3 linked regions of the Kluyveromyces lactis genome follow. The protein of the gene in region 2 purifies or fractionates together with the protein of the main gene of each other region. This does not show direct contact. Links are inferred from orthologs where the notes say so. Each region holds a gene or a part of one and is shown on either strand. Other genes may lie near its edges.

What was found.
Region 1: the proteins of PWP2 (region 2) and NOC4 purify together in Saccharomyces cerevisiae (affinity purification with mass spectrometry; 10 studies listed by BioGRID, with this or other methods). This does not show direct contact. The link is inferred for Kluyveromyces lactis from reciprocal best matches to the Saccharomyces cerevisiae genes PWP2 and NOC4.
Region 3: the proteins of PWP2 (region 2) and MPP10 purify together in Saccharomyces cerevisiae (affinity purification with mass spectrometry, with the first as the bait; 7 studies listed by BioGRID). This does not show direct contact. The link is inferred for Kluyveromyces lactis from reciprocal best matches to the Saccharomyces cerevisiae genes PWP2 and MPP10.

The regions. Positions count from the first base shown.
Region 1 is NC_006038.1:953,251-956,291, forward strand, and holds NOC4 (ribosome biosynthesis protein NOC4), read left to right. Parts: upstream 1-868; coding exon 869-2,434; downstream 2,435-3,041. Other genes in the region: PPT1 (protein serine/threonine phosphatase), read left to right, coding at 2,698-3,041. UniProt on the Saccharomyces cerevisiae protein: Involved in nucleolar processing of pre-18S ribosomal RNA and ribosome assembly. Has a role in the nuclear export of 40S pre-ribosomal subunit to the cytoplasm.
Region 2 is NC_006039.1:783,151-786,911, reverse strand, and holds the start of PWP2 (snoRNA-binding rRNA-processing protein PWP2), read right to left. Parts: upstream 2,377-3,761; coding exon 1-2,376. Other genes in the region: MPP6 (Mpp6p), read left to right, coding at 3,029-3,556; YIH1 (Yih1p), read right to left, coding at 3,673-3,761. UniProt on the Saccharomyces cerevisiae protein: Required for bud-site selection and cell separation. Also involved in nucleolar processing of pre-18S ribosomal RNA.
Region 3 is NC_006040.1:821,687-825,253, forward strand, and holds MPP10 (rRNA-processing protein MPP10), read right to left. Parts: upstream 2,440-3,567; coding exon 613-2,439; downstream 1-612. Other genes in the region: NOC3 (Noc3p), read left to right, coding at 1-513; AVT1 (Avt1p), read right to left, coding at 2,832-3,567. UniProt on the Saccharomyces cerevisiae protein: Involved in nucleolar processing of pre-18S ribosomal RNA. Required for the early cleavages at sites A0, A1 and A2 during 18S ribosomal pre-RNA processing.

The sequences.
Region 1 (3,041 bases), on a different chromosome or scaffold from region 2:
CGTTTACAGTTAGTTTAGTTTTTGAAATGAATCGCACAAGGCGATTCATATTAGCAAGAAGCAAGACTCAAACACACAAACTCACATCAAGTCTATACATGGGATGACCTTCCCAAAAAGAATCAGAATTTTATAAAAAGTGTCCCAAATCATTCAAAGAATGTAACAAGATTATAAGGCTTGCGAGGGCACCACATTCTCCATTAAAACCATGAACAGAAAATAATTCCCATCCACGAAAGAATTGTAAGAATTAAAAAAGCGCAAATAGTATCATCGTCTTCTTTTAAAACTTGGAAGGTCATGTGGATTTAAGCCCAAAAAGAGTAATACAAGTAAAGCCTATCAAAGTTACATCTCTTCTACATCACCAATTGTGTCTTGTAATTTCTTGGTTCATAAATCTTTCTCTTATATATGATGAAATTCGGGCTAGATCATTTTATACTAATCGTTGAAATTTGTATGCTGTTAGGGCTCATAGGCTGCCGTGAACTGGAGGATACGCACCCCCTGAAGGAACGAGCATCAGTGTGCGTATTCAAGGTGATGCAGGCAAGACTTGACTGACAACAGAATGGTTTACCACTCTAAATTATATATTTAATGTCGCCATTGATAGCTAGTTTATTAGGAAATGCGATCACGTGATAAGAATAATTTCTTTTCAATTGTCTTCTACATTGCAAGAATCTCTGAAAAATTTGGAATCAAGAGATGAGATGAGATGAGATGAGATGAGATGAAGTCGAATAGGAAACGTTAAGGTAGGATATTCTCACCGTTATAATCTGTTTGATTACTCGCAATAAATAATTGGAATTCACATATAAAAGTTTCCCAAGGATTCAGACAGCGATTAACCAAGATGCTCTCGAAGGAAGAGATTAAGCAAGTTTGGAAGTCTATTAGCACCGGCAATGATAGAAAACATTACAACTCGTTGGTGAACCTAATCCATGGGTACAATGAACTTCTAAAGGAAAACGAATTGTTGCACAATTTGGAAGATGATTACCGTTATATGACCATTGCTTTGAGTCAGATTTTCATCAAACTTTTTGAGCGTGGTCAATTGATGCCTCATCTTGCATCCAATGCCAATGAAAAGAAATTCTTTGAATGGTGTAAGAAACTATATTTAAATTATAAGGTTAAGTTATTGGCTATCATTACATCTTTGCATGAAGTTAACTCGTTGAGTTTAGATTGTTTGGACTCATATATGAAAATGCTTCACCATGAATCGATATATTGGGCTTCGAAACCAAATAGTCCTTTCTTTCCAAATAAGACTTTAAGATCGTTACTAGTGGCTCTTTTCCATTGTAACTTTGAAGGTGATATCGGTTTCAAAGATGGTCAGAGCGAGAATCCCGTGTTTAATCTATTTGTGGAAGCCTATTATAAGAAGAATTTCGATATTCAATTCTACACACAATCAGAACTGATATCGTTGTTACCAGAACTTGATGGCCAAACATCTGACGAAATTTTGATGTCTAAATGGTTGGCTTTATGCAACAACGATGTTCAGGGATCACCAGACTTGGAAATATTCGTATCTGTGCCCCCACAAGCCATCGAGAATGATGCTAAGTTTAAATCCAACCTCGAAACAAATTGGTTGCACTGTCTAAATTTAGCCAACTTATCCAGTAGCCAATATAAAACTGTGCTTTTAGTGCTACACAAGAGAATTATAGTATGGTTCCATCAACCAACAAAGCTTATGGATTTCCTTACCGACTCTTACAACCAAGGTGGTATCGTTTCAATCCTTTCATTAAATGGTTTGTTTGAACTTATGAAAAAATACAACCTAGAATATCCAAATTTCTACTCAAAACTATATCAGCTTCTAACTCCAGAAGTAATGCACGTTAAGTACAGATCAAGATTTTTCAGATTAGTGGACACCTTTCTATCTTCTACACATTTATCCGCACAACTGGTAGCGTCATTCATCAAACGTTTGGCACGTTTATCCGTATCGGCACCACCAGGTGCTATTGTTTCTATAATACCATTCGTGTACAATCTAATCAGAAAGCATCCTACATGTATGATTCTATTACACGATCCAGAATACATCGACTGCGATTCAAAGAAAAGGCAAGAATATCTAGATCCATTCAACAATGAAGAAACCAATCCAGAACTTACAAATGCTCTTTCCTCCTCAGTATGGGAGCTAGAAACGCTAATGAATCACTACCATCCAAACGTAGCCACTTTAGCGAAGATTTTCCAACAACCTTTCCAAAAGTTAAGCTACAACATCGAAGATTTCTTAGATTGGTCTTACGATTCACTTTTGCAAGCAGAAACCAATAGAAAGCTGAAGATCCAACCTGCTCTTGAATTCGAAAGGTTTGAAACAATTTTCGAATCAGGTTCTGATTCAGCATTCCTACCCTTCATAAAATGGTAAATACATAATTTCAAGTAGAAAACTTAAGTAGTTCAATTCCAAATTGAGTACTTTCTTTCACTTTCGCAAATCTCTTCACATTACATCTCATCACATCGCCGTAATATTGAAACATCGAGATGAAAAAAATCAACAAGTCAACATCAAGAAGAGAAAGACTCACATCAGAAAAAACTTTAAAATGGGCTCCGTTTATCGGTCTTGAGGACTTAAAGGCACATACCATACCAGTTGGCTGCTTTTTTACCACTACTATTGAATAAATGACTGAGGAAGTGAAAGCCTGTAATCCAGAGAAAGCCTTAGAGCTGAAGAATGAAGGTAACAAGTTCGTGAAGGAGAAACTGTACGCAAAGGCAGCTGAGTATTATACAAAAGCCATCGAGCATGATCCCGAGAATACGATCCTATATTCAAACCGTGCGTTCACCAACCTAAAGTTGGATAACTTCCAAAGTTCTTTAGACGATGCTAAACGTGCAATTGAATTGGATAATAACAATTTGAAAGCCTATCACCGCAGAGCTATGTCTTACATTGGGCTACTAGAGTTTAGAAAGGCAAGGAAGGACTTGATCATTGTGTTGAAATTCAAGCCTAACGAGCT
Region 2 (3,761 bases):
GAGATTGAACTCCAAATGCTGTGATTCTAAAGCGTACTCACCAATGAATTTTAGAATTCTTGATACGTAAACCACTGGCAACTCGTGAGCTATCAATGGAATATCCTTTATTGGAATATTCTCATATACTCTGTGGATTAGATAGCCCTCATTTAGACGGAAAGCCATTAGTATGGCATTGAGATATTCCTTGTCATCTAAGCTTTGGATAACATTCTGTGGAGTCACATCGACGTCAAGATCGAAAGGATCAAAAAGAATAGTATTATCAACGGAATATACAAGTAAACCTTCTGTTGAACCGGCGGCAAATGCATTAGCAGTAGGAGAGAATCTTATAGACGTCACTCTGATCGCCGGTCTGACTCTTCTTGTCGATAAGTCACCTCCTCTATTCGAACCAGGAAGGCTGTTATCTACGCGATCTTCCAAGTCTGAATTTTCTGCATCTTGATCAATGAGATCCAAAGATCCTGCTTCTGTCATTCTACTTGAGTTTAAAAACTCCATGGTGCCGTTTAACATCATGTTTTTGGATACGGTAAATCTTCTTAGCAGTACTTCGTTTGGAATGTCATAAAGACATATGGAATTATTGTTACCGGCTGCAACCAAAGAGAGACCATCGAAACTGTAATGAATGGTGGTAAAATATTTAGATCTTGCTGAACTTTCTGATGTGAACCGATCTTCCAAATGTCTACCCGAGATTATATCCCTTTTGCCGTCAATATTTCCCACCTGTTTGCCCTCAGCAACATCAAAGAATAATATTTGCCCCGCTAGAGTACTTGCAGCTATTTGTTGACCATCCGGTTTCATAGAAATAGATAAAACATCAGAAAATACTTCAAAAGGCTCTACCTGTTGACTTCTACCGAAGAGAGACCACACTCTAATTGTTTTATCCCATGAAGCGGATGCCAAAACTCCATTCTCATTACTGAAAGATAAACAGGAGATAGGACCTTCATGGCCAGATAGTGTATCCACTAACTGACCAGTCTGTACTGACCAAACAAAAATGTCAAAGCTATCTTCCGACCCGGCACATACAACTTCTCCGCTTGGATCAACTGCTAATGAGTTGAACTGTATTCTTTCGGTCGCAGTGAACGTTCTGAAATTACGATATCTGATCAAGTCCCATGCTTTCACGGTACCATCCAAAGAAGCTGAAAACAAAACTTGACCTTTTTTAGCAAATTCTACTGCACTTACACCACCTGCATGTTCATCAAAAGTTGCCAAACAGAAACCTGACGCGACATCCCAAATCTTGATCTTACCTTCGTGACTTGCTGTGACAATCTTCGATCCATCTGGGGAGTAACACAATCCATTTAACGTATCGAAATGACCTTGTTGTTTTAGAATATATGACTCTGATTGCCATTCGTACACTATCAATTGCCCAAGTTTACTAGAACCGAAAGCCAACCATTCACCAGAACTGTTGATGGCAACCGTATTAACTGCATTTTGACCCATTGAAAGTTGTTGAATCATGATGAATTCTGGCAGTTCATAGAGTCGGAATTCACCGTTTGAGAAACCGACTGTTAATATGTTGGATGCAGCATGGAATGCAGAACACTTCACCTTTGCTCTGTTTGCATGGAAAAAATTCTTCTTTGTGATTCTCCAACTATATTTTGACAAATCTACATCTTCCTCATCTTCATCATTGTCTTCCCCTTCACCAGGCTTTTTGGTGTATTCCCATTGGAATAAGGCACCATCTTTACTGACCGTGTATATCTTTTCCTGGTCATCGCTGAAATATGCTCCGATAACGTTATCTCTATGTCCTGCAAAAGTCGTCGATGCAAGATTTTTCTCCTCCGAGTTAACTGACCATATCCTTGCCGTTAGGTCCTTGGATGTGGATATAATAAATCTTGAATCTTTTGACCATGTCAAGGAAGTTATATCAGAAAAGTGGCCGGCATGGATTCTATAACGAACAAAAGGTGCAAACTGTCTATCCTCAGTGGTCTCGGGTGTCCTCCATATTTGTAAGAATCTCCCACAAGCCAGCGCAAATAACTTGCCATCAGGTGAAAACTTCAAGTCATAAACCTTTTCTTTGAAGTTGAAATGATGCAATACGTTTCTTGTCTTAAAGTTCGCCAAGATACCACGACCATCGACATCAATGGAAAGAAGTAACGTACCTTGCTTGTTGATATCTACAACGGCAACGTTCTTCCTATGTTCATATTCGAAGGTAAAAGCAGTATTGTTGATCAAATCAAATACCGACACCCTATTACCTACCGGTGAAAGTAACTTGGAACCATCTTGAGAGAACAAGACGTTACCTTGCCTATAAACAGTTCCCAAAAGATTGGAAAACTTAAAATCAGACTTCATCCGTAACTAAACCCTTATAAAGCTCGTCTGACCTGATTCCTTCCAACTAATTGAAATTGAACAACTGATTATAATGCAAAGTCCTTACAAGTGACTGATAATCCGTCTGCACTTCCTGCTTGAACTCATCTCATCTCATCTCATCTCATCGCTCAATTTTTTCTCTTAAATTTTTCGAAATCCTGTATGCTGAATGAAAAAGAAAGGAAAACATATACAGCTTTAGCACGGAAGTAAAGAAAGAGAGAACAGAAACATGTCGGTTTTTGGGTGGATTGTCGTTTATGTCAGCACTTGAAACTTAGTATGAGTACTTCATTATAGCTGTTTTCATACTTTTACCAATGACCTTTTTATTTCATTTATTTTTGTACAATGTTCCTTTTATAGTGCAGATCCTTGCATTCTGAAATACGTCCGACGGGGTTTAACCATGGATATTTCTATCTTCTTGCTATCTTTCATTTTCCGGACAATCGTAAACAAACTTTTCATGAAATTCTAATATGTAAGATCAAACCATTCAGCAGAAGATTGATGAGATGAGCTGTATTAGGACTTTAATGATACATTAAAAATGTATTCCAGTGTCAATGATATAGTGAAGCCTATTTGAAAGCGGTAATAGGGGCACTAAGACGAAAAGGTAACAATGAGTGGACAGAAACGGCATGAAGTCACAGGCAAGTTATCCAATAGAGTGATGAACATGAAGTTCATGAAGCATGCGGAACAAGCAGACAAAGTTAAACAGACCGAGGAGACAATAAAGAAATTGGTGGACTCGTCAGAATGGAGGATAGGTGACAATGTAAAACTCTTGACAAAACTTGCTAATAAATCAAAAGTGGTACAGAACGTAGGTTTCTCTGCTATCAAGTCACTGAATGATGAGGATTCGAAGATCGATACAAACGATCTCAGCACAAGCACACTACGGACTAGTGTAAATGCAGGAAGAAGAATATTCGGAAATAAACTCGGACGAGCTACGCCCGGTTCAGATGGGAGTTCTAATGATAAGAAAAGAAGTTTTGAAGAAAAGGACGAGGACGATGTGTCGACGACAGATTTAGAAAAGCTATGGGAAGCCGAAACACAGACTAAGAAACAGAAGAAATCCAATGGTAATGGTAATACTGAGAGGAATAAGAAGAAGTCAAAAAGGAATAGAAATTAAACTTCATAGCAGGATGCTAAATGAGACACTAGTATTTGTATATTATTTTCGCCGACTTATATAATAAATAGAGTAGATCAAATTCCGGTAACAATACTCCATTCTATAAATGTGAACTATTTTGACCTCTTCTTACTTGAAGTAGAGGTAGCAGCTTCTGTGAAATGCCCCTTCAATATTACTTCTCTAGTTGTTGAATTTATAT
Region 3 (3,567 bases), on a different chromosome or scaffold from region 2:
ATGGATCTATCATCATTTGTCGACGCGCTATTCACAGTACTACCGTATCTATCGTTCGATGCTGATATTGAATTCTCACACAAATCGCTAAGGTTGGCCGACCCCTTGAATAATGAACTCGTCAAACCATCAGTTAACGTATCAACAAAAGCAGAGTTATTGTTGAAAGCCCTTGATCATGTCTTTTTCAGATCAAAATCTGGCACTAAACAAAGAGCTGCTGCGTTCACAAAGAGAATTTACATGGCTTTGCTGCACACTCCAGAAAAAACATCAATTGCACTGCTGAAGTTTTTGGATAAACTAACTACCAAATATCCAGAAGTACTGGGTTTATACTCTACAGACGATAGAATTGGAAATGGGGAGTTCCGCATCGACACAGACTTACCAAGTAGAAGTAATGCAGAAGCAGCAACTATATGGGAAAATAGCCTTCTTGTCAAGCATTACAGTCCTTCTGTTGTAAAAGGTGTAAGATCATTATTCCATAAATCTCAAGAACATAAATAGTTTGGGGGATAAAAAGATAATTAAGAATTCTCTTATTTACCACCTTCATTTCAATGCAATTGCATTAATTATAGTAATATATACTTACTGTAACAGTGTCTATAACTTGAAATTGATGTTACCAGATGCATTATCCTTCTTTATATTACCCTTAACATCAGTTTTGGCACCCTTTTTATCGATAACGGTTATGTTCTTGGATTTAGTCAAGGTATTAAGAACATCATCCGTCTTACTCTTCTTTCTAGGTTGTTCGGCTCTTTTCGCAGATAGCTTCGATCTCTTTCTCTTAGCAGCTCTACGGAGTCTGTTTTTATCCTCTCTGGACAGTTCATCTCTGGACATCACCACACCATTCTTCAAAGTTATTTCATTAGAGTTCTCTGATTTACCAACTTTGTAGATTTCCTGAGGAGCTAATGTGGAACCACTTGACATTGTTAGTGGTTGTGCATCTTCCATAGAAATAGCGGCGGTTTGCACTCTTACTTCAAGATCTTTCTTTATCGGCTTAGGTATGAAGTGGGCTGACGATAATGCATCTAGTTTGTAAACCAAATCTTTATATAGCTCTGAAATTTCATCGTGACTTTTCTGTAATTCTTCTGATATTTCAGTATCCTCGGTAACACCTTTGAAATCATCTTCATAAATTTCAGCTAGTGATTTTGATGACTTTACATCACTTAGTTCGAATCTTGGTTTATTATTGTAGCCTGAAATATCGCTGATAACCCTCCTCTGTAGATCGTTAAAATCTTCTTCCTTGATCCTTCTACGGATCATATTCTCGAGAGTTTCTGTTACCTCAGCTGTTATAACTGGCACAGGTTTGGCAGTTCTTTCGAACTCAAGATCTTCCGTTAACAAGGCATCTTCTGGCCTATCGCGAGCTTTTACTTCACCTTTTAACGCCCATTTCTTCTCAGCAACAGCTTCCTTTTCGAGGGATTCTATTTGTCTTTTTAGCTCAAGTTGTTGACGTTCAAAGGTAGATAATGGTTGTTCAGCAGTTTCTTCATCTGATCCCTGAAAATCATCGTCTTCGTCAGCAAAAAGATCTAACTTAGCTTCCTCCATTGCATCATCATACTCGCTTTCGTCAAAGGATTCATCCTCTTCGGCCTCTGCTTTCTTTGAAGGTCCTGGCCGCCTGTCCTGGGAAGATTTTTTATTAGATGGCTTATCAAAGAAATCGTCGTAATATAGAGCTTCTTCATCTTCCTCCGATGGAACATCTGCGAAATAATCAACTTCTTCGTCATCCTCATCTTCTTCATCTGCATCTTGGCTTCTATTCTCAGCCTCAAGTGTTTGTCTATTGAATTCATCTAGATTGAAAAATTGATCGTTTACACCAAACTTGTCTTCGATCGCTTGTGGACTTTCTTGTGCTTCTACAAATTGATCATCAGGTTCCGAATCACTTTCGTTTTCCAATTTATCTTCTTCCTTCTCATGTAATTCTAAAGGTTCTGGTTCTGAGAACTGTTGTTCTTCATCTAAAACGAGCTCTTCATTTTCTGCTTCTTCCTCCTCCTCTTCAATAGCAGACTCTTCAGAAACTGGAGCTTCGTCTGCAGACATTTCATTGGAATTTTCAACATTAGAGGCATCATCTTCGTCTCCGCTGCTTTCCTCGCTCATATCATTCTCATTATCAACCTTCAGTTCGGCGATTTTTTCCATGATATCACCTTGAACATTATCTAAAATGATTTTTGACTGCCACCATACCTGGTTAGCATCTAGCCCATCAACCACTATCTCATCTAATGTTGTCTTTGAATTTCCATTGTTTTTATTCAGATTGATGACTTCGTCAAAGTAAGTCTTCACTGCCGATAGTGGTTCCTTGGACTCCAGAGCATCCTGGGAAAGAAGTCCAACAGGATTAGTTTTCAAAATTTCCAAAAACTGACTCATGTTGTGTTATGTGTGGGTCAGTGAAACGTTACCTATTTACTGGTGTAGCTGTAGTGGATGTATCGATACGATCAAGCTGCTACTATAGACGCATATTTCGTACATGCTGAGTGATGCGATGAGATGAGTTTTCATCAATTTTTCAGGTATCCAAAAATTTGAAAAAGAAAAAAATGATGGGAACTGTCGCCAATGCGGGTAAGAAGAGAGATAATAGACACAGTTGTGAGGCATTGGTTGGGTGATGAATACTAGACAGAAGTACATATGGGTGAAAAGTCATTATATGAAGTGTGATTCCCTTAGTTTGGGTGCTAAAATTTTGCATAAAGACACGTAGATGCATATACAAGAATGAGGTGCTGGCAAATTCAACAGCATTTGTAGGTAATTCATGAGGTGAAGGAGGCGTATACTCCAAGAGTGGATAATACTGCACTAATTAATATCGTAATATTACACGCTATCAATTCCCAAGATTTAATGGTTTTGTAGCAAATTCTTTTGTAGAACAAACATGGCAGAATGAAACAAATCATGAAACAAAGTGCAGCACCCAAGAATGCAATTATTTTGTCAAATTCAGGGAATAAAATAGCAATAATCACGAACATAACATTCACCATGATTCTGTTAAATATTCTGGTTGCCTTTGCGAAAAAAACCTTCGATGCTGGTTTAGTTTCATCGATGTGCACTACGTTAAACATTGAATCAAAGATGGAGACAATCGGTCTTGCATTAAGTGGTGTTTTGGCAAGTGGAATCAGTGAAAGAAGAGTTGAAATTAGGCCATAAACAAAAGGCGGGTATCCTGGAGTCAATAACACACTTCTTGTCACTTCATTCATAACAAGATTACCGAACATTAAAAATCCAACGACAGCAATTCCGATATCAGTAACAATGGTGATGCTATAAGTGGTCTTCAAACAACGAGTAAACTTCTCCGGATGCCTCATATCACTCTTTAAGTTGGGAAAGACTGCGTGACCTCCCCAGCATGCACTCAATAACCCTAAGGAAAGACAAAACTCCTTGAATGAATTGGGCCACATCGATGTGGCTTCTGGTTGCAATAATGACCCTGGTGAATATTGTTTTAGCAACCCACAGAAAACTACTAAC